3 linked regions of the Danio rerio genome follow. The protein of the gene in region 3 purifies or fractionates together with the protein of the main gene of each other region. This does not show direct contact. Links are inferred from orthologs where the notes say so. Each region holds a gene or a part of one and is shown on either strand. Other genes may lie near its edges.

Region 1 (6,646 bases), on a different chromosome or scaffold from region 3:
CCTGGAAGAGACCAAAACCCCTCTAAAACAAGGCTGTTCGACCAGCTTAAACCAGCCAACCATCCTAGGCTGGTTTAAGGTGGATTTTTCAGCAGGGTGATCTGATTAATCCTCACCTCGATGTATTTAACCGTTTCCTCAAACACCATTTTGGACTTTTTTTTACGTCCAAGTTGTTCTTGTAAGGACTCCAGTGCTGTATTGAGCTCCTCCTGGAATTAAAGTCAAAATCTATAAGACATCAGATATAAAAGTAATGTGTTCATAGTGTAAACTATTGAATAGTACATTTTTCATGAGCAAAATGAATCTGAGACATTTCTACAAGTAAAAAAAATGTCTATGATTATAGAAGTTCAAGCGTAATTCAGTCTTACCTTCTTTGGTGAAACCATTTCACTGATGGGTCTGAATGTGTGTTTGAGGTGTTTCTCTGAATCTCTGCACACTAAACACACAGGCTGTTTGTCCTTTACACAGTAGAGTCTTCGTTTCTTACCGTGTAAACTGCAGATCTCCTCAGATCTTGATGAATGTCTCTTATTTCTCTTTTTCAGATGCGACTCACACAAGTTTTGTAAAGCCAGATTAACTGGAGGATCAGCTATTGAGGATCTTGTCCTGCAGACGGGACACTCCTGAGTATTCTCGCTTCTCCAACACTGCTGAAGACACTCTTGACAGAAACTGTGGCCACATGATAATATAACTGGAGTCTTGAAGATATCCTGACACACAGGACATGTGTAATCATCTTTAGCTGATGAAGCCATTTTGAAATCCACTAGTTTTAACTTTACTTCCACTACTTGAATGCTTAAAAGGAAAAACAAATTAAGTGTGCGATCCGCTGTGTGAAATCTAGATGAAGGTCTGCTTGAATGGAACAAGTGGGAGTCTCTTTCTGGTGAGCGTTTCAGTGGGCGGAGCCGTTGGGTTCAGTGTGTGTGTGTGTGTGTGTGTGTGTGTAGGGTGGTTCATATAAAGCACGCGTAAGTTACTCAAAGATGTGATTTCAGAGTTTGCATGCACACAAAAATATCAGTATGTTCATATTTCTTAACAATCTCTACACGGAAGAAAAAAAAAAAAACACGGAAAAGTGCAGCTCTGAGAAGATGAAGAATCAGGGTCTGGGAAGACGTTTTAGCATGATTGACATTGGCATCATCCAATCGGCAGGTAGCGCCGTCTTTTTTAAAAGCCTGATTGGTTGATGCTTGGGATGCCTCACGTGTGATTGTTTATATTTAAATTTACAAAATAAAAAAAATAAGTTTTCTTGTAAATATATTTTTGATATACAACAATAATAATAATAAAACTTTCGAGCAAATTTGTAAAATAAATTTCATGATTATATATAAGAAGTGCCATATAGACGAATTACCATGTTTGCAAACAACAAGGTACCAGAAGAAAAAAAAAACGGGAGCGCTAGCATTTACAGCGAGGCACAGAGTTTGTTTTTGTCTAAGAAATAAGTTATATTGACAACATACGTATATATATATATATATATATATATATATATATATATATATATATATATATATATATATATATATATATATATATATATATATACATATATATATATATAAATAAATAAATATATATGTATATATATATATATATATATAAAATTTACATAATGCTTTTAGCGTATTATAACAGCTCGTCACCCAGTGATAAGCACAGTGATTCTGTAAAATTAACGTTAAAGTGAGTGACATACCAGTTCATACTGACAATATACTGATCCACATTAGAAACATGACATGCCTTGCAATGACACACACACACACACACACACACACACACACACACACACACACACACACACACACACACACACACACACACACAGACACACACACATATATATATATATATATATATATATATATATATATATATATATATATATATATATATATATATATATATATATATATGGTAATGACATACCAATATATACTAATCATACTTGAAACATACTCAGAACACCTTAGCAACCACCTAGCAACCACTCAAAACACCTTAGCAACCACCTAGCAACACCTTAGAAATGACCTAGCAACTGCTAGCAACATCTTAGTAACCACCTGAAACACCTGAAACACCCTAGCAACCACCTAGCAATGCCTTGCAATGACACACACACACACACACACATATATATATATGGCAATGCTTTAGCAACCACTCAGAATTCCCAGGCAACACCTTAGCAACGGCCTAGCAACCAATCAGAGCATGCTAGCAACCACCTAGCAACACATAAGCAACGAGCTAGATCATCTATAGCAACCACCTAACACCTCCTTAGCAACCACTCAGAACACATCAACCGACTAGCAACATCTTAGTAACCACCTAGAACACCCTAGCAACTGCCTAGAAACACCTTAGCTACCGCCTAGCAAAACCTTAGCAACCACTCAGAACACATAAGCAACCACCTAGCAACGTCTTAGAAACCACCTGGAACACCCTAACAACTTCCTAGTAATGCCTTAGCAACAACTCAGAAGTCCCAGGCAACACCTTAGCAACCGCCTAGCAATGCCTTAGCAACTACTTATTAACACCTTAGCAACCACTCAGAACACCCTAACAACTGGCTAGCAACACCTTAGCAACCAATCAGAACAACCAAACAACTGAGTTGCAATGCCTTGCCAACTGCATAGCAACCACTGAGAACCCCTAGCAACATACCAAACTATATTGGAAACATGCTAATCTTTTGATAACTGTTTCAAACTTAAAACACTTCAGTTATTTAAACTTCACACTTTCAGACTCGGCTTTCTCAAGAGACCAAGTTTGTCTACGAACTTTAAATTTCTAGTTCATTCATTCATTCATTCATTCATTCATTCATTCATTCATACTGTTCAATGAGCGCAAAAAAATCAGAAAAAAACTGTTCAAAAGAACCGAATGGAGATAACGAGTCTGAACAGCAGCGACTCGGTTCACATTGAGCTTCGTGAACGCGCATATGGTAAACGTCATGGGTGTAGTGGGCGGGGTTTTTCAGGACGTACTAAAAGCGTATCGAGCGCTCTTTTCTGTCCTGTAGAGAGAAACACGTGTGACTGAACGGTTCTTACCATCTCTCTCTTTCAGTTATCAGCTTTACTGTAAAAACAGCCCTCAGTCATGGTAAAGCTCGCTAAGGTAAGATATTACCGTCAATCCGTTATTGTCGCTTTAAATGCAGCACGGATCTCAAAATGCGTATTTTCCTGTTTTTATTTTTACATTTGGCGAGAAGGCCCATGTGTGTGAGTTATATTTAGTTTAACATATATAATATTCGTCGGAATGTAAGGTTAAATATTCAAATACTTATTTAAGGATCAGTATTGACGGCTAAAATGAGCTAGCGTGTGTTTTCTGCTTTTCCTGTTTGTGAAGGTAACATGGCCGACCACGCTTCTGCATTTGCAGGCCTCAACAAACACGCATGATGAACATGCGTGGTGAATTTTAAGAAGACTCGTTTTGTGATGTTGTAAAAACAAATTGCGTTGATTAATAAACCCTGGGGAGGTGTTAATGTGTCGTGGATTTAGCTCCAAGGCATTTGTTCGCCATGCGTGGAAAGTAGCTAAATGCTAAACGCCTCCATTTTGGCTCTCTGTAGTGAATGTGGGGGCATTTAACACGTATAAGACCGTGCACTAAACACAATTGCGTTTTAACTCGTGTTTCACTGTTTATATGAGTCAAGTATGTAAATGCGGCACGAAATTTAATTTAATTACGTTATTTCTACTTCGCTGTAGGGTTAACGTGTGTTTTCCACGTGTTACGTTCAACCCACGTGGGATGATCCACGCGGGGAGTTTCGCGAGCAGTACTTTACTTTTTGAGTACTTTGTTACAGATCCATACTTAAGAAATATTCATTAACAGTCATAATTTTATTTTAGTTTATTATTTGTATAAGTACATTATTTACATTAAGTCATGCACTTAATAGTCAAATTTTAAAAGGTTGTACCACGAATGAATTATATGCAAAATCTCCAATAACACGTGTTACACCTTTAGTGATTGAAAGGTAAAAATGTTGGATTTTAGGAACCAATCTAAATATTTTAATTGGTGTTGTGCCAGTCTTGTATTTATCTTTTTTTTTTTTTTTTTTTTTTTTTTTGCACATTTGTCTTATAAATGTATTAATACTAAAGATGAAAAGTTTTAGATGAGAATTCAGATTTTTATGCGAAATCTTACGCTTGTTTATGCAAGATTGTGTTTGTGTTTTAAACATGCACAAGTTACCTGTGAACTTAATGAATGCCAAGTCTTGTTAAATGTACACAAGTCAACATTTGAGGATGGTTAAGACCTTTCATTGGTCAACTATGTCTGTCTTGAGACAACTTGGGTGTACTTTTTTTTTTCCCCCCCTAGATGTTTAGTTTATTTGACCCTTTCATAGCCCTAACTGCAAGAGCTAAGGGGGATGTGCGATTTGGAGAAAATGTCTTGATTGCAATTTTTGTTTTGACAGATTTTTTTGATTTGAGTCAAGATTCAGCTCAGTCTGTTTCACTGCATAGATATGATTATTATTATATATGTTATTATATATTAATAATATTAATTTCACCATTTATTCAAATTAGTTGTTAAATATTCAGAAATTGAAATCATTTTTCGCTTGAGCAAACAGTAAGATAAAAAAAATTACCTTTCCTTTTTGTGCATCAGCTCAAAGTAAGGAGATGATGTAGCTTATTTAAGGTATCTGCAGAATTGTAAAGTTTTAAAATTAAATATATATGAATTTTAGGCCTTAAAGTCTTTAATCCGCTGCACTATTGTGTTGTAGGTCTTAATTTTAAACTGGTCTTAATTTTCCTCTGTAAAGCTATACCCAATCAGGACAGCACCCGTCTAATAACTAACATTATATTTCATAAGTTTAAAAAAAACATCATTTACACTATTTGCATATTAATATGGTTTTATTTATCTTTGCAAAAACATTTGTTTTTAATGATATGGTTTTAACTTGGCCATTAAAAAATCTTTAGTGTTTAGCCTTGTGCAAGTCTGAATTGGTCTTAAATTTGACTTGCTGGAACTTGTAGACACCTTGTTATTATACTTACAATAATATAATAATTGTGAAAGTACACTCCGCAAATTAATGAGACCGATAAGAGGCAGATTGAAAAGTTCTGATTGGGCAGAACGAAAGTGTGCTCACTCAATCGGCTAGTAAGACTTGACATTTGCTCTGAGTGTGGGACATTAAGTACATATTCTACATCGTAGTGCATTAAATCAGAATAATTGTCACTGATTTAAGTGAACATTTGTATAAAAATTCATGTAGGGTTTTTTTTTTCATTAATATATATATAATGACATTTGAGATTTCAAGTGTGAAAAGATTAATAATGGATCATGCTATAAACATGGTGACATTCAGAATTTTGTATTCTTGTCAGCTTTACCAATTGTAAGTTTCTAATTCAATGCAATATGGTTTCAGCTATGACTGTTTATGAAGTATGAACGCTGAGCATACAGATGTATTAAATTTATTGCACTTTTAAAGCTTTATATAGCCTAAACAAGAGTAGCCACACCTCATGATCTCCAAACAAATGCTGAAGTGAAAGCGTTCGAATGCATCAAGATTGAATGTGTCATTGATTGAAGCTTAAACTATATGCTGTCATTTCTGCATAATGGCATCTAGCTAATTTATAAAGGGTGGAACTCGTGTTTAATACATGCACAAGTGCTAAAACAATCTGTTAAATCTTTCTTGCACCGCAGGACTGAAACTGAAACTGAAACCATTTGAGGTTTCTGTTGACTAAATGTGCAAAGCTTTGACTGTCTAGTTGCTAAATCAATTTCTAATCGCACAAATCAACATTTAAATTAATATTTTCATTGCTTGTTTGTTACAGGCAGCTAAAAAAGATGCGCCGCCGAAGAAAAAGGCACCTCCACCTCCTAAAGAAGTGGAAGAGGAATCCAGCGAGGAGGACAGTGATGACGATGAGGAAGAAGAGGTGAGGAGGCTGACAAATAATGCGCTTTATTTTTTTCCTGTTGCTATTGAAAGGTATTTAATGAACTGTGTATTCGGCAGGCACCACCAGTCAAAGCTGTAGCGAAGAAAAACGCGGCTCCTGTGAAGGCAGTGAAAAACGGAAAAGCTGCTGCCAAACAGGAGAGTGAGGATGAAGATGACGACGATGAAGATGATGAATCTGGTTAGCAAAGTTTTCAGTCGTGCATTTTTATTTTATTTTTTTTATTCCTTTGAGTCTGAAGGTCAGGTGTAATTTGCATTGACTTGTACTTCACAGAAGAGGAAGCTCCGCCTCCAAAGAAGGCCGCTAAAGCTCCAGCTAAAGCAGCAGCTCCTGCAAAGAAAGCAGCTCCTGCTGAAGAGTCCAGTGAAGAGGATGACGACGATGATGATGGTATGAAAACTATCTGCCTAGATGTTTATTAGATCAGCAGTTTTAAAGGGATAGTTCACAGTTATTAAATGACTCATTTACTCTCCCTCAAGTGGTTCCTAACCTGATTGACTTTTCTGAACACTGAAGATGATAGCCATTGACTTCCATAGTACAAAAAACAAACTAAGAAG
Region 2 (6,604 bases), on a different chromosome or scaffold from region 3:
ATGAAATTTCCAGGGCTTTCAGCCTTTTCTTTTCACAAAAAATATAAGAATATGTAGAATAATACATAAGTTTGCTCTCTAAATGAAACACTTTATCAGATGGTTGGACATTTTGTGATGTTTAGCTAGCTTTGTCAGTTTGTAGCTCCGCATTTAATTGACACTGCCAAAAAAATACTATTTTTATCTGGAGACTTTACATGAAATATTTTTAAAATGTGAATCCTTTTGAAATTGTCCAATTTTTATCAGAAGTAAACCTTAAACTGTTTTAGATTTTTATATTCTCGTTATTATTTATGTATTTCATCTTGTGTATTATTTATTGCTGTTGATGACTTTTAATTGTTAGAATATTTCTATAATTATAGAAAATTATACTTATAAAATGTGGTAAACTTGATCTGTTTTTTGCCATGACATGGCCAGAAAAGCTGATATAGCAAACTCAACATTCTTCCTCATTCACTGACAAAAAAAACTAATTAAGCGGCATTAAAATGAATACATATTTAAAACATGATTTATAATATTACATTAAATGGTCATTGTTTGAAATAAAGCAGTTTTACAATATTATAATATAGTTTATTATATATATTTTTTAAATAAAAATATTTTTGAAAGCATTTTAATTCACTTTGTGTGCTGAATAGTGATTCTTTTAACATTTACCTTTAGCAAATTTAGTTTTTACTAAGTAGTTGTCCCAACATATATTTATGTATACGGTTATGTGTAGTTTTTAATGCACATTGACTGTCATTTACATCAGTGTTTCTCAACCACATTCCAGGAGGACCACCAACACTGCATGGATGTCTCCTTTCTCCGTCACACCCATTAGATGGGTTTCAGTCTCTGCTAATGAGCTGATGATCTAAATCTGGTGGGTTTAGTTGAGGAGACATGAAAAATATGCTGAGCTGGTGGTCCTCCAGGAACATGGTTGAGACACTGATTTACATAATATTGTGTTTTTAGTTTTTTTCACATACATGTTGCATTTCTGCTACACCGGGCCTCATCACTGTATATATTAAATTATAGGTCAACAGAGCAGCTATGGCAAGGCCTCACGGGACAGCGGAAACCATCAGAACAGCTACCAGCCGTATTGATGAAGTGGCGAAACAATGGTAAGATTGCCTACTTGCTGCGCTCTGAGCTCGACCTCAATATTAAAGATCAATAGACAATAAACTAACAGCCTAAGGAGTAGAGTACATGTCTATAGATCTTTAATTGCACCTGTTTGTGTAGCCATTTTGCTTTTTTTAGCGTGCCAGAAAAGCGTAAGCGTTTTTCTGTAGGTTTTTTCCATTTTCTCCTCCTGCTTTAACAGGTGATCATAAAGGAATAACATAGAAAAAGTTGATAGCAATGCTAACAGGTAATGTACGGCTAAAAGGGTACAGAGTAAAAGGCGCCTCTCCTTATTTTTCCTTTCTTTCCCTAATTCTGATTATTGTACCTTGTTTGTACCTGCCAGCGGGGACTTCATTGCAGGCCGTGTGTCACCTGACCACGTCATTCTCTGGGCGTCGCACATAGCGGGCAGAGAGCACGGCATGCACGAGAAAGCGCTGTCCTGTGGTATGGTCTCTTCCAACTTCCTGTACCAGCGTAAAACAAACAAACAAAGGAGATTTTCCCCCATTTCATTAAGTTGTTGGTTTTCGTTAACAGTTCCAAATGTTTTTTTCCAGGACTTTGTTAATGTAACCTAAAAGTGATTGATAACTGCTTTGTTGTATGCTCTTTTTTTCAATTGTAGTGCTCTTGTATTTCAGTTGTGGAGCTTCAGTGATTGATTTATTAATTTATTTCTTTGTAATGTTTGGTTTTTGGTTACCTCCCCATGTAAATAATTGCATAAACTCTCTCATAATGCTTGCTTTTTCTTTAGAGGCCATAGAGAACTTCAAATGGGTACACCTCAGTGCTTTTTTCTTAAGCATAGCCTTTAAAGATCATATGTAAAGTGAGTTTTACGAAGCCATTAAAAGCTGAGAAATCTGATTTAAAACAGTTCAAGGATTGGCTAAAGTTTTTAATAACCATACCGTTTACACAGGATAAAGGCTAACCTGTTTGGGCTCGCTCCTCGATTGGTCCACAAACCGCTTGGAGCTGAGGCTTTTGCTGGCTTATGAGCTGTTCTGTCAGTCGGAGACGTTTAACATATGATCTTTAATCCTTAATGATGGTTTTCCTAGTTTAAAATCGACAGCTCAAGAAGTTAAACACTGAAACATGGACGTGCTTTGCTCGAGGTGTGGAAACCGGGTGATTCATCTCTGCTCTCTTCTCTTGTAGGTGGGCAGGTTGACTTCGACATTGCTCCTCGGAGGCAGCTTGTGTGGAATCCTGTCCTTAAACAACTATTAAAAACGTTATTCGGTCCTCTGGGGACAAATCCAGTGTCTAACCTTGTAAATAGCGAGGTGTTTCGTTTCCCAAGTTTGTCTTATTCTGTGCTTTGTTCAGATTGAACCTGTAGGTTTTGTGCTGATGTGTTCTTAAGTCTTGATTAGGAAAAGTGTCCTTTATTTTGTATTTTTAGTTCTTTTCCTGACGTTTTTGGATAAAGGGATTAAAAATTCTGAGAAAACCAATGTTTCTTTGTCGTGTGATTATTTTATACAACATTTATGACTAAGTTTTTTTAAAATATGTAATGTACATATAATAATTCAATATTATGCATTTAAAAGGTTTGAGATAAACAAACTAGATTTCCAGCCCTACAGCCAATGAGCGTGAAGCGACGTTGACGTATTTTGTAACCTTAGTGACGCCATCCCGTTCAACTTCCGGTTCTCCGCCATTTTGTGAATGGACGCCGTTGCCATCGACATTCTGAAATCAGACTAATACAAACGCGAATTTGAGCCGCATTAACACGATTTATAGGCATTTCGCTTCGGTTACGACCTAAGACGTTTTCGTCTGTAGAAACGACTGTAGCCGCGCGTGTTTTCGCCAATAGTTGATCAAATATGTCGGAGGAGCAGTTTCTGGGCGAAGACCCGACGATGAAGATGGAGGAAAATGATGATGGAGAAGGTTTCGGCGAAGAGCAGATGTCGGGGGATAATGGAGGACAGGGAGAAGCCGAGGGCTCCAAGATTGATGCCAGTAAAAATGAGGAGGACGAAGGGTGAGTTTCGGCTCCTGATGCACCATGGGAACAGACTGTAACCGAAGAATAAAATAACCTTGAGTTCATACATCGCTTCCCAATAGTAGTCGATTAGATGAGTAATTATCAACAAGGAATCGTTTTATATTAATTTAAAGTATTATAATCATTGCATTAATATTTGTGGTCATTATGCAATATTAATATCGTTATCAAAAGTGGCCGGTTGTGTAAATAACATGAATATGTGTGTCGGAGTATCGATTGATCGCTTTGCATACGTTTGTAGTAATTAATGTGGACTATCAATTGAAATGCTTTCAAAGCATTTGGTGATTTTAATGTAAATGAAGGTTTATTAAAATGTTTTCTATCTTTTGTTTAAAATATAACTTACTAGTCATATCCTAGTACAGGGTATCTGCTGTGTCTAAAATTGTCTTGAATCTCAAAAGCTAAATTTTAGGCTTTAAGAAGTCTAAATATACTGAAACATCGTGTTGTAGGTCTTAAATCTTTTTAACAGGTCTTAATTTTCCCTTGTTCATGTGTAGCGACCAAATCTAGCCATTAACAGCCATACATTCCCAATCTCTATAAAAGTCGTTTTAAAAATAACATTTATACCATAAAGTTATTATTACTTACAGTAACATTTGTTTAAAAGTTACTGCCAAGGATACTGACCTGACCTATATATTTTCATCAATAAATTATTATTATTGTATTATTAAATTTAAATACAGTGGACAAAAGGTAAAAATATTCAAATGAAAAAAAATCCTTAGCATTTAGCCTTGTATATTTCTAAAATTTCATTCATAATCTTCTTAAAAAATCTTAAATTTAACTTGTTGAAAGCGGCAGAAACCCTGTAATATTGTGTCATTTACATGCATTAACAATGATCAGTTAAATTTTTATTTAGTAAATTGATGAAAGAATAATAAATACTTTAACAGATGTATTGCCCGTCTCACTGTAAAGTGTTCCCTAATATTCGTTTGATAGTTCACCCTAAAATGAAAGACACTCAAATGGTTTCAAACCTTTTTCAGTTGAACACAGAAAAAGATATTTTGAAAAATGTTGCCAAGCTGTAGCCATTGACTTCCATAGCAGGAAACATATACTGTGGAAGTCAATGATTTCCAAAAATGTTCAGAATATCCTTTTTGTGTTTTTACAGAAAAAAAAAACTCATTGAGGTTTGTTCAAGTGGAGGATGAGTGAATGATGACAGAATGTTCTGTTTTGGGTGAACTGTCGCTTTAATGGACAGCTGCAAGTTGACTCATTTTCCAAATACATTTGCCTTTCAAATGCAGCTTTGTCAAATGTCAATTTGACAAAAGCATATTTTGAGAAACTCGGATTTAGAACTGAATGGTGTTTTTTTGTCTAGTATGCATAAATGAATTACTTTATGACAAAACAAGACTGAAATATAATCATCTATGGTCGGTTGCAGAAACTACTTAGACTAGTCATACAAGGTAGTCATTGTTTATATAATTATTATTTCCTATAAAGACTGGTCATAACTACAGGTATACACGTGTAATAGTCAATATGGAAAGTTAATAAACATCAATTATTTTGCTGCTAATCTGCAATGCTAATTTATTTTTAAAATGAAAATTAAATCTAATATTTATGGTTGTTTTAATTTTTGTAAGAAAATAATGAAATGCTTCTGTTAATCAACAGATTCTCTTGACTAGCCTGGAAAGATACTCCATCACAGTTACATTTTCAAATGCACATCATAGACCATTTTATGGGACGTAAACAAAAACAATAGTCCCAATGTATTTCCTGTTTTACATTTTTTATTTCTGTAGCTTTCGAGAATCCAAAAAGAGCCACATATTGATAAATGATGTTATGACAGCTATTTTATCAAGTTACGATTGAATTGCCTCTTGTTACAGTTATGAAATAGTTTGATAACATGCAGGAAATGTTCATGGGCCAATGACATGACCACATTGAAATGGTCTATAAGCGACTCAGACTCAAATGCAGCATTCGCGAAGACGGCATTCAGAAGAGCAGGATTTATTTACAGTGAACCGAGGTGCACTGAGTCTAAAAACACTGTTATCATGAGCTGCTTATGTTAAAAGTCACAGTGCTGCACATCACATTACATATAATTACAACCCAGTATTTGCTGTCTGACAAACATGCTAATCCATATCATGTTCTCAGGCATTTTTAGAATAAATGAAATGAAGTAACCTATTTACTCTACTTTGGTGTGTTAAGTTTATCCCTCCCGAGTTGAAATCTGATTAAAATCAGATAGAAATCACTCTAAAGAGATAAGTTTACCTCAAAATTAAAACGTTCTCACTATTTTCTCAAGCCTCAAGAGATTCCAAATCCAAACCTTTGAGTTTTTATCTTCTGTTGAACACAAAAGATGTTTTGAAGAATGTTGGAAACCTGTAACCATTGACTTCCATAGTAGGGGAAAAAACAAATACTATGGAAGTAAGGGGTTTTCAGCTTTATTCAAAATATCATTTGTTCTGTTCAAGTGGAAGGTAAGTAAGGAATTTGCACTATTTCCTTTTTTGAATTGTTTTTTCTTTTCCTTTAAGGAAAAGTTTTTTTTTTTTGAAGAACAAAAACAATCTAAGCCCACAATAGCATTCATTTATTGTTTCTGGAAAGTTCTCCGTCCACACCATATTGCTTTACTAAACAACGTACATCATGTGACCATACAATGTATGTTCAAGTATAAACAGGAAGTATGTGCTTCACTCAGCATGTGGTTACTAGGCAACTAGGGCTGTGCGATTAATCAAAATCGAATCACAATCGTGATTTGAATCGTTTCGATTAGCTAATCGCAAGAGGCTGCTATATGAAATATAAATTTAACTTCCCCCACCCAGAGCAAATGCATGACTGCCTTCTGTGTGTGACAGTCTTACTAGCCAATTGAGTGAGCTTACTTTTATTCTGCCCAATCAGAATTGCGCAACCGAACTATGCAGAACGCCCACAATAAAAACAAACAGGAAAGCGCGAACGAGTGGGATGATAGCATCTGCCGCTTCAGAAGCATTAATAGACTAATTAATGTTAAAGAAAATAAGCATGTCAGTAATATGGGAATATATTGGTTTCAAAGTCACAGACACCAAACAAAACTTGGTAATTTGCAAGAGCTGTTGCAGAATTGTGGCCACAGCATGAGAAAATGCAACAACCAGCACCTAAAAAAGTACCACAGGTGACGATATGAGGAGCATTTTGCTAAAAATGTAACTAAAAGTACTGCCAGTGACACTCAATCTAGTAGCTAGCAACAGCAAAGTACAATTTCAGAGTTGTTTGCTAATATAATTTAATACTGTTCCTTTTTTTAATTAACACTCACTGCATTTAGCAATAAGAAGCTACGATACAGATTGAGCTGAAGCTTGACTGCAAAATAAATTG
Region 3 (6,546 bases):
CTGAACCCTCACATAGTGGAAAGCATGTGCTAATGGTTTGATTTCCGCCCTGAGCTGGACATTTGGACAGAGCGGCAGAGGAAAGGCTATAAATGGGAGAACTGGAAAGTGGTGATGGAGCACCAGAGCGACGCCAGATTAAGTGCCCCAGAACCTCGGTCTCTAATCCACACTCAAGTCTCCAGCTGGCTTCAGCTCCGACCTGCTGATTATCGCAATCTGTCACCGAGCCAAAGGGGGGAAAGAGGGACACCAGGAGTTAAACTGGCCCGAGGAAACCCGGCAGAGCACATGGAAATCATTGATTGCAAAAAAAAAAACTATTATAATAACTTGGGCTGGTTAGACATCATCCCAGCTTTGCAAATTTCTTAAGGGGAAAATCTAAGTTGCAGATCTCTAAACAGAATTCGAGGGGCTTTTAAATGTTTCGGTTAAATCATGCTCTCTATTGATTAAATGTACATCTAACTTTGTAAAGAAAATTATAGATTTAAGCTGTTAATAACCGTGGGAACTTTTCTGTAAAATAAAAGAATATAAATGCCATTAACATGGTTTCAACTGGAAGAAAACATTTTTATTCTGTGTGTACAATTTAATAATTGCGAATATATGTACATATATGTTGTTATAAATTATATAGTATTTATATATTTTTATGTATTATAAGAACATCAAATTTACCTTTCTGAATGTTATGAACTAGGGCTGTCGATTAAATAAAATTGGTCTGTAATTAATCTAATGATTCAGACTATTACTGTGAAAACATGAAATTAAAAAATATTGCATAATATATTAACTCTATACGTTTAAAAGTTATTATTTAGTCATAAAAATATTGAAGAAAACAATATATAATTTTGAAATACCTTATATGTTGTCTCTGGTGGCCTGCTATTTATTTATATTACATTTTATTTGACTAATTTATGCATTTATCTGTGAGTGTTTATATTAAAAATGTTAAAAATGTATAAATACTAACAAAAATGCATCAATAAGTCAAATAAAATGTAATGTAAATAAATAAGTTCAGCAGATAAGTCTTGCAAGGTATTTTAAAATGATCAATTATTTTGTTGAATAATATACCTTATATGATGTCTGTGGTGATCTGTTATTTGTTTATATTAGATTTTAATTGACTTATTTATGTATTTTGTGAGTATTCATTTTAAAATTGTTAAATTAAATATAAATACTTACAAAATTGCATTAATAAGTAAAAAAATGTAAAATAAATAAATGAATAAAAGTTAGGAAATTTTAAAATTATAAATTATTTTGTTAAATAATATACCTCATATGACGTCTCTGGTGACCTGTTATTTGTTTATTTATTTATATTACATTTTATTTTACTTGTGCAGTTTTGTGAGTATTTATTTCAAAATTGTTCAAATAAATATAAATATTCACAAAAATGCACAAATAAGTAAAATTAATTTAATATAAATAAATAAATAAATAAATAAATATAAGGTCACCAGAGAAGTCATATAGGCATTTCAAAATGATAAATTTAGTTTAAAAAAATACTTTAGCCTATGACATCTCTTGTGACCAGTTAAAATGCATAAGTCATATAAAATGTATAATAAATAAATAAATAAATAAATAAAAGGTCACCAGATTCATTTTATAAGATATTTCAAAAAGATAAATTATTTTGGTAAATAATATACCATATAAGACGTCCCTGGTGACCTGTTATTTATTTACATTACATTTTATTTTACTTATTCATGCATTTTTGAGAGTCCTTATATTAAAATTCTTAAAATAAATATAAATATTTACAAAAACGCATAAGTAAAATAAAATGTAATATAAATAAATAGGAAATGTCATATGGTATTTCAAAATGATAAATTTTGTTTAATTTTTTTTTTATATATATAAATAAGAAAAGTATACTAATATTAATCAAAATATCAGAAAATGGCAAATACATCAGTCAAATGCATCCAGAATACATGAAAAAGTAAGGCCCCACAACTTGATAAACACCTACAGCACAAACTACACATATTGAGCTGGCTTCCAGTAAGAAAAGTCCATTAATCATAACTTATTAAATGTCTCCCAGTGGAAGAATGTAATTGTCAATTGTTGATCTAAAAAGCGAAACACTGCAGGTTTCAAAGCCTACCAAGAACAGCAGGGGAAACCCCCCCAAAATGCTGAGAGCTCATTACAGGTCTGACATCATAACAGCGTCCTAAATCAACTTCAGCCTCAATGTAAGCTGCTTTGGATTTAAAAAGCCCCTCTGAAATACAGACTAATTATAAAAACCATGAGGGCACTTAAAACCCAAAGTCACTGAGGGTCTAATAAACGCCCCGCTCATATACTCTCTTTTTTAATAAGATGTTTTATGATGTGCAGATGTAATTGTCTGGTTAAATCAGATGAGAACGCACTCACCGTGGTCACCTTCCTCTTAATATTCTCCAGAAGTTGCTCCTGTCCCCGGATGAAATATGGATGCTGGAACTCTGTGTCGTCTTTCTCTGGTTTTACCAGCCCTCCCTGCTCAATGTGGACCACTTTCCGAAAACCATCTGCATAATAAGAACAGAAACACATTACCATAATGTTCATAATGCACACTCCTTTCTCCATTCAACTTAAGTATATACTCAAATTTTAAATAATATTGAATAAGAAATGCATAAAACTACAATTATATTTATAATTATAATATAACTAAACCTCTAAGCTAAGTTAAATGTGGAAAACTTGGCATTAAAGTCATGGAACTGTACATAAGAGGTATTAATATTATTTTAAGAAATACTCAGTCTAGCTCATAAATGTGGTCTACTATTAATATCATAAACATCTGTACATAAAAGTATGATTATTATTATTATTATTATTAAAAAATACATTTAGGCAGCATTAATGTCATGAAACACTAGAAGTATGAAATGAGTATTTTTATTATTACAACATTATATTTCTAAGCTGCAAAATGTGGACAATCAGCAATAAATACCATGAAATTTTATAAATAAACAGTGTGATTATTATGTCTAAAAATAAATTTAGGCAGCATTCCTGTCATAAAATACTAAATAAAATGTCTATTTTTATTATTATTACAACAACAACATATTTTAGGCTACAAAATGTGGACAATCAGGAATAAATACCATGACATTTTATAAATAAAAAGTGTGATTATTACGTTTATAAAATATTTACAGGCAGCATTCGTGTCAAAACACTGTAAATTAAATGTCTATTTTTATTATTATTATAACATTATATTTTTAAGCTACAAAATGTGGACAATCAGGAATAAATATCATGAAATTTTATAAATTAAAAGTGTGAGTATTAAGATTATTATGTCATAGAATATGGAGGCAGCATTAGTATCATAAAAAATGTAAATAAAATGTCTTTTTATTATTATGACAACATTATATTTCTAAGCTACACAATGTGCACAATCAGGATTAAATATCAAGAAATATATAAATAAAAATATTATTATTATGATAAAACATATCTACATTGCATAAAATCTTGAAACACTAAATATGGAGAAAATGTGGACAATATAGAATTACTTATTTAGTGCAGCTTCATTTAAAATACACACCATCCAAAAATGTTCACATTATCCAACAAAACACGAATCAAAATCTTCCACGTTAACATTTATATGAGCCTAAACATTTATTCAACACCTTCAGCTTTAACCATCTAAGTCTATAAATAAAGTTTATTAGGTCATTAAAATGATTAAACAGATTAAAGCCATTATCATATTCCTCTTATACTTACACATATTGAGCTGGCGGACAAAACTGGCCATGTTGTTGTGCTTGAAGTATTTCGGCAGAACTTCTTTGGAAAACCTGCCCTGGTCGAAGACGTGGAAACTGGTGCCATTCTGAAAACGCAGTCAAACAGTTTTAGTAAACAATGTTAGCTTTATATTCACACACTAGGACTTTACAATTTCAGAAAAGTATTATTTACAAATTCTTAATAGGGAAATCATATTAGCAGCCAATGACAATCAAAGTACAACACTGTTCACAGTTTATTAAATATGGCTAATGTTATTTTAAATTCATACTTAACATGCTATTTCAGATCCAATTTTTAAAAGTAGCATGGTAAACCATATGGGTAACAACTTTACCTCAATGACCAATAAAATGTCCCTCTTCGGGCTGTCAGCTTAAAACAAAGTCACCAGCTAACAGCCAAATCCACTTATAATAGTCCAGAATTAGACAGCTGACAGATAGTGTTAATTCAATACTTTACAACTTCTCATGTGTTTATTTAGCGGCTCTGGTTTAAGCCTGACGGTTAGCGCCTTAACTATCACCCTACATTTTAAGTTCAATGACTTGTAAATTACATTTGATAAACAGTTTGTTAAAATAAGTTCAGGATTGGACAAAAAGAATCGTAATAAATGTGGTCAAAAAATCCCATCAGTGGAATTGTGACTGTTTGACACAGATATTGAGGTAAAGTTGGTTTTATATTCGCACATTCATTCATTATTAAGTAAACTGACTACTTGTGACACTGCCCTATATTGTTTACTATGCTACTTTTATATATTTGGTCTACAATTGCATGTAACAATTTGAAAACAACATTAGCGCTATTAATTGACGGTGAACAAAGTTGTGCTATGTAGCCATTAGCTGCTAATATGATTTCCCCATTTAGAATTAGCAAAGACTACTTTTTTAAAATGATATTATTCTTGAGAAAGCATGAATCTGTGACTATAGAACCAACTTTACCTCAATAAAGCCCTGTCAGTGGGATTGTAACTGTTAAGAGCTCAAATATAAACTAAAAGACAGCTCTCTAAATACATTGAAGCTCATTTTACACAGGTTGAACCATATCTATTCATAACAAAAGATAAATATTTAGGTAAAATCCCAATTCTGTGCCTTCATAATCAACAAACGTAGTGTTTATGAGGTAAAGTTAGTTCTATATTCGCACATTTGTTCCTTTTTGAACTAAGTGACAACTTCTGACAAGGCTCCTATATTGTTTACTATGCAACTTTTTTATATTCGGTCTGAAATCGCATGCAAGTATGACTTCAAAAGTAAATTAGCACTATCCAACTGTGAAAAATGTTGTATTTTGATAGTCACTGATTTCTCTATTTAGAATTAGCAAAGAATACTTTTACCGCAATAAAACCCTATCAGTAGGATTGTGACTGTTGATAGATCAACTAAAAGACAGCTCTCTAAATACATGTAGGCCCATTTTACACAGGTTTTACCATATCTATTTATAATAAAAGAAAAATATTTCAGTAAAATCACAATCCTTGGCCTTTACATTAAAAGATGTAGTGTTTATGAGGTAAAGTTAGTTTTACATTCGCACATTCGTTCATTTTTTTAACGAAGAGACAACTTCTGACACGGCCCCTATATTGTCTACCATGCTACTTTAATATATTTGCTCTGAAATAGTAGGCAAGTATGACTTCAAAACAACATTAGCATTTAAGTGACTGTGAACAAAGTTGTTGTATTTAGATAGTCATTGGCCGCTAAAAAGATTTCCATATTTAGAACTGGCCAAGAATACTTTTCAGAAATGATATTATGAAAGAGAACGTCTGACTGTGTGAATATAAAACCAACTTTACCCCAATAAAACCCTGTCAGTGGGATTGTAACAAATATTGTGAAATATAAACTAAGACAGCTCTCTAAATACAAGCCCATTTTACACAGGTTGAACCATATCTATTTATAATAAAAGATAAAAATTTAGGTAAAATCCAAATTCTGTGCCTTCATATCAACAAACGTAGTGTTTGAGGTAAAGTTGGTTTTATAATCACACATTCGTTCATTTTTTTAACAAAGTGACAACTTCTGACACGGCCCCTAAATTGTTTACCATACTACTTTTATATATTTGGTCTGAAATCGCATTTAATCATGACTTCAAAACAACATTAGCACCATTTAATTGACTGTTAACAATGTTGTACTAAGACAGTCATTGGCTGCCAATATGATATTAGGAATTTGCAAAGAATACTTATCTGAAACTATAATTTTAGGAAGAAAGTCTGAATGTGTGAATACAAAACCAACTATACCTCAATAAAACCCTGTCAGTGGGATTATGACTGTGAAGAGTTCAAATATAACCTAAAAGACAGCTCTCTAAATACATTTAGGCCCATTTTACACTGGTTTTACCATATCTGTATTTTGATAAAATCCCAATCCTGTGCCTTGATATCAATGAGCGTGGTGTTTATGAGGTAAAGTTGGTTTTATATTCGCACAGTTGTTCATTTATGAACTAAGTGTCAACTTGTGACATGGTTTCTATACCATTTACCATGCTACTTTTATACATGCGGTCTGAAATAGTATGACTTCAAATCAACATTAGCCCTATTTAAGTGACTGTGAACAATGTTGTTGTACTTAGATAGTCATTGGCCGCTAAAAGATTTCCATATTTAGAACTGGCAAAGAATACTTTTCTGAAATGATATTATTA

Evidence for each region.
Region 1: the proteins of hsf1 (region 3) and ncl purify together in Homo sapiens (affinity purification with mass spectrometry; 3 studies listed by BioGRID, with this or other methods). This does not show direct contact. The link is inferred for Danio rerio from reciprocal best matches to the Homo sapiens genes HSF1 and NCL.
Region 2: the proteins of hsf1 (region 3) and hnrnpd purify together in Homo sapiens (affinity purification with mass spectrometry; 3 studies listed by BioGRID, with this or other methods). This does not show direct contact. The link is inferred for Danio rerio from reciprocal best matches to the Homo sapiens genes HSF1 and HNRNPD.

The regions. Positions count from the first base shown.
Region 1 is NC_133197.1:38,757,962-38,764,607, reverse strand, and holds the start of ncl (nucleolin), read left to right. Parts: upstream 1-3,037; 5' UTR 3,038-3,171; coding exon 3,172-3,189; intron 3,190-5,951; coding exon 5,952-6,056; intron 6,057-6,136; coding exon 6,137-6,260; intron 6,261-6,356; coding exon 6,357-6,473; intron 6,474-6,646. Other genes in the region: trim35-34 (tripartite motif containing 35-34), read right to left, coding at 117-212, 378-773. UniProt on the Homo sapiens protein: Nucleolin is the major nucleolar protein of growing eukaryotic cells. It is found associated with intranucleolar chromatin and pre-ribosomal particles. It induces chromatin decondensation by binding to histone H1.
Region 2 is NC_133185.1:5,487,735-5,494,338, reverse strand, and holds the start of hnrnpd (heterogeneous nuclear ribonucleoprotein D0), read left to right. Parts: upstream 1-2,811; 5' UTR 2,812-3,002; coding exon 3,003-3,163; intron 3,164-6,604. Other genes in the region: hnrnpdl (heterogeneous nuclear ribonucleoprotein D-like), read left to right, coding at 1,051-1,121. UniProt on the Homo sapiens protein: Binds with high affinity to RNA molecules that contain AU-rich elements (AREs) found within the 3'-UTR of many proto-oncogenes and cytokine mRNAs.
Region 3 is NC_133194.1:3,473,527-3,480,072, reverse strand, and holds part of hsf1 (heat shock factor protein 1), read right to left. Parts: intron 3,917-6,546; coding exon 3,808-3,916; intron 2,574-3,807; coding exon 2,437-2,573; intron 1-2,436. UniProt on the Homo sapiens protein: Functions as a stress-inducible and DNA-binding transcription factor that plays a central role in the transcriptional activation of the heat shock response (HSR), leading to the expression of a large class of molecular chaperones, heat shock proteins (HSPs), that protect cells from cellular insult damage.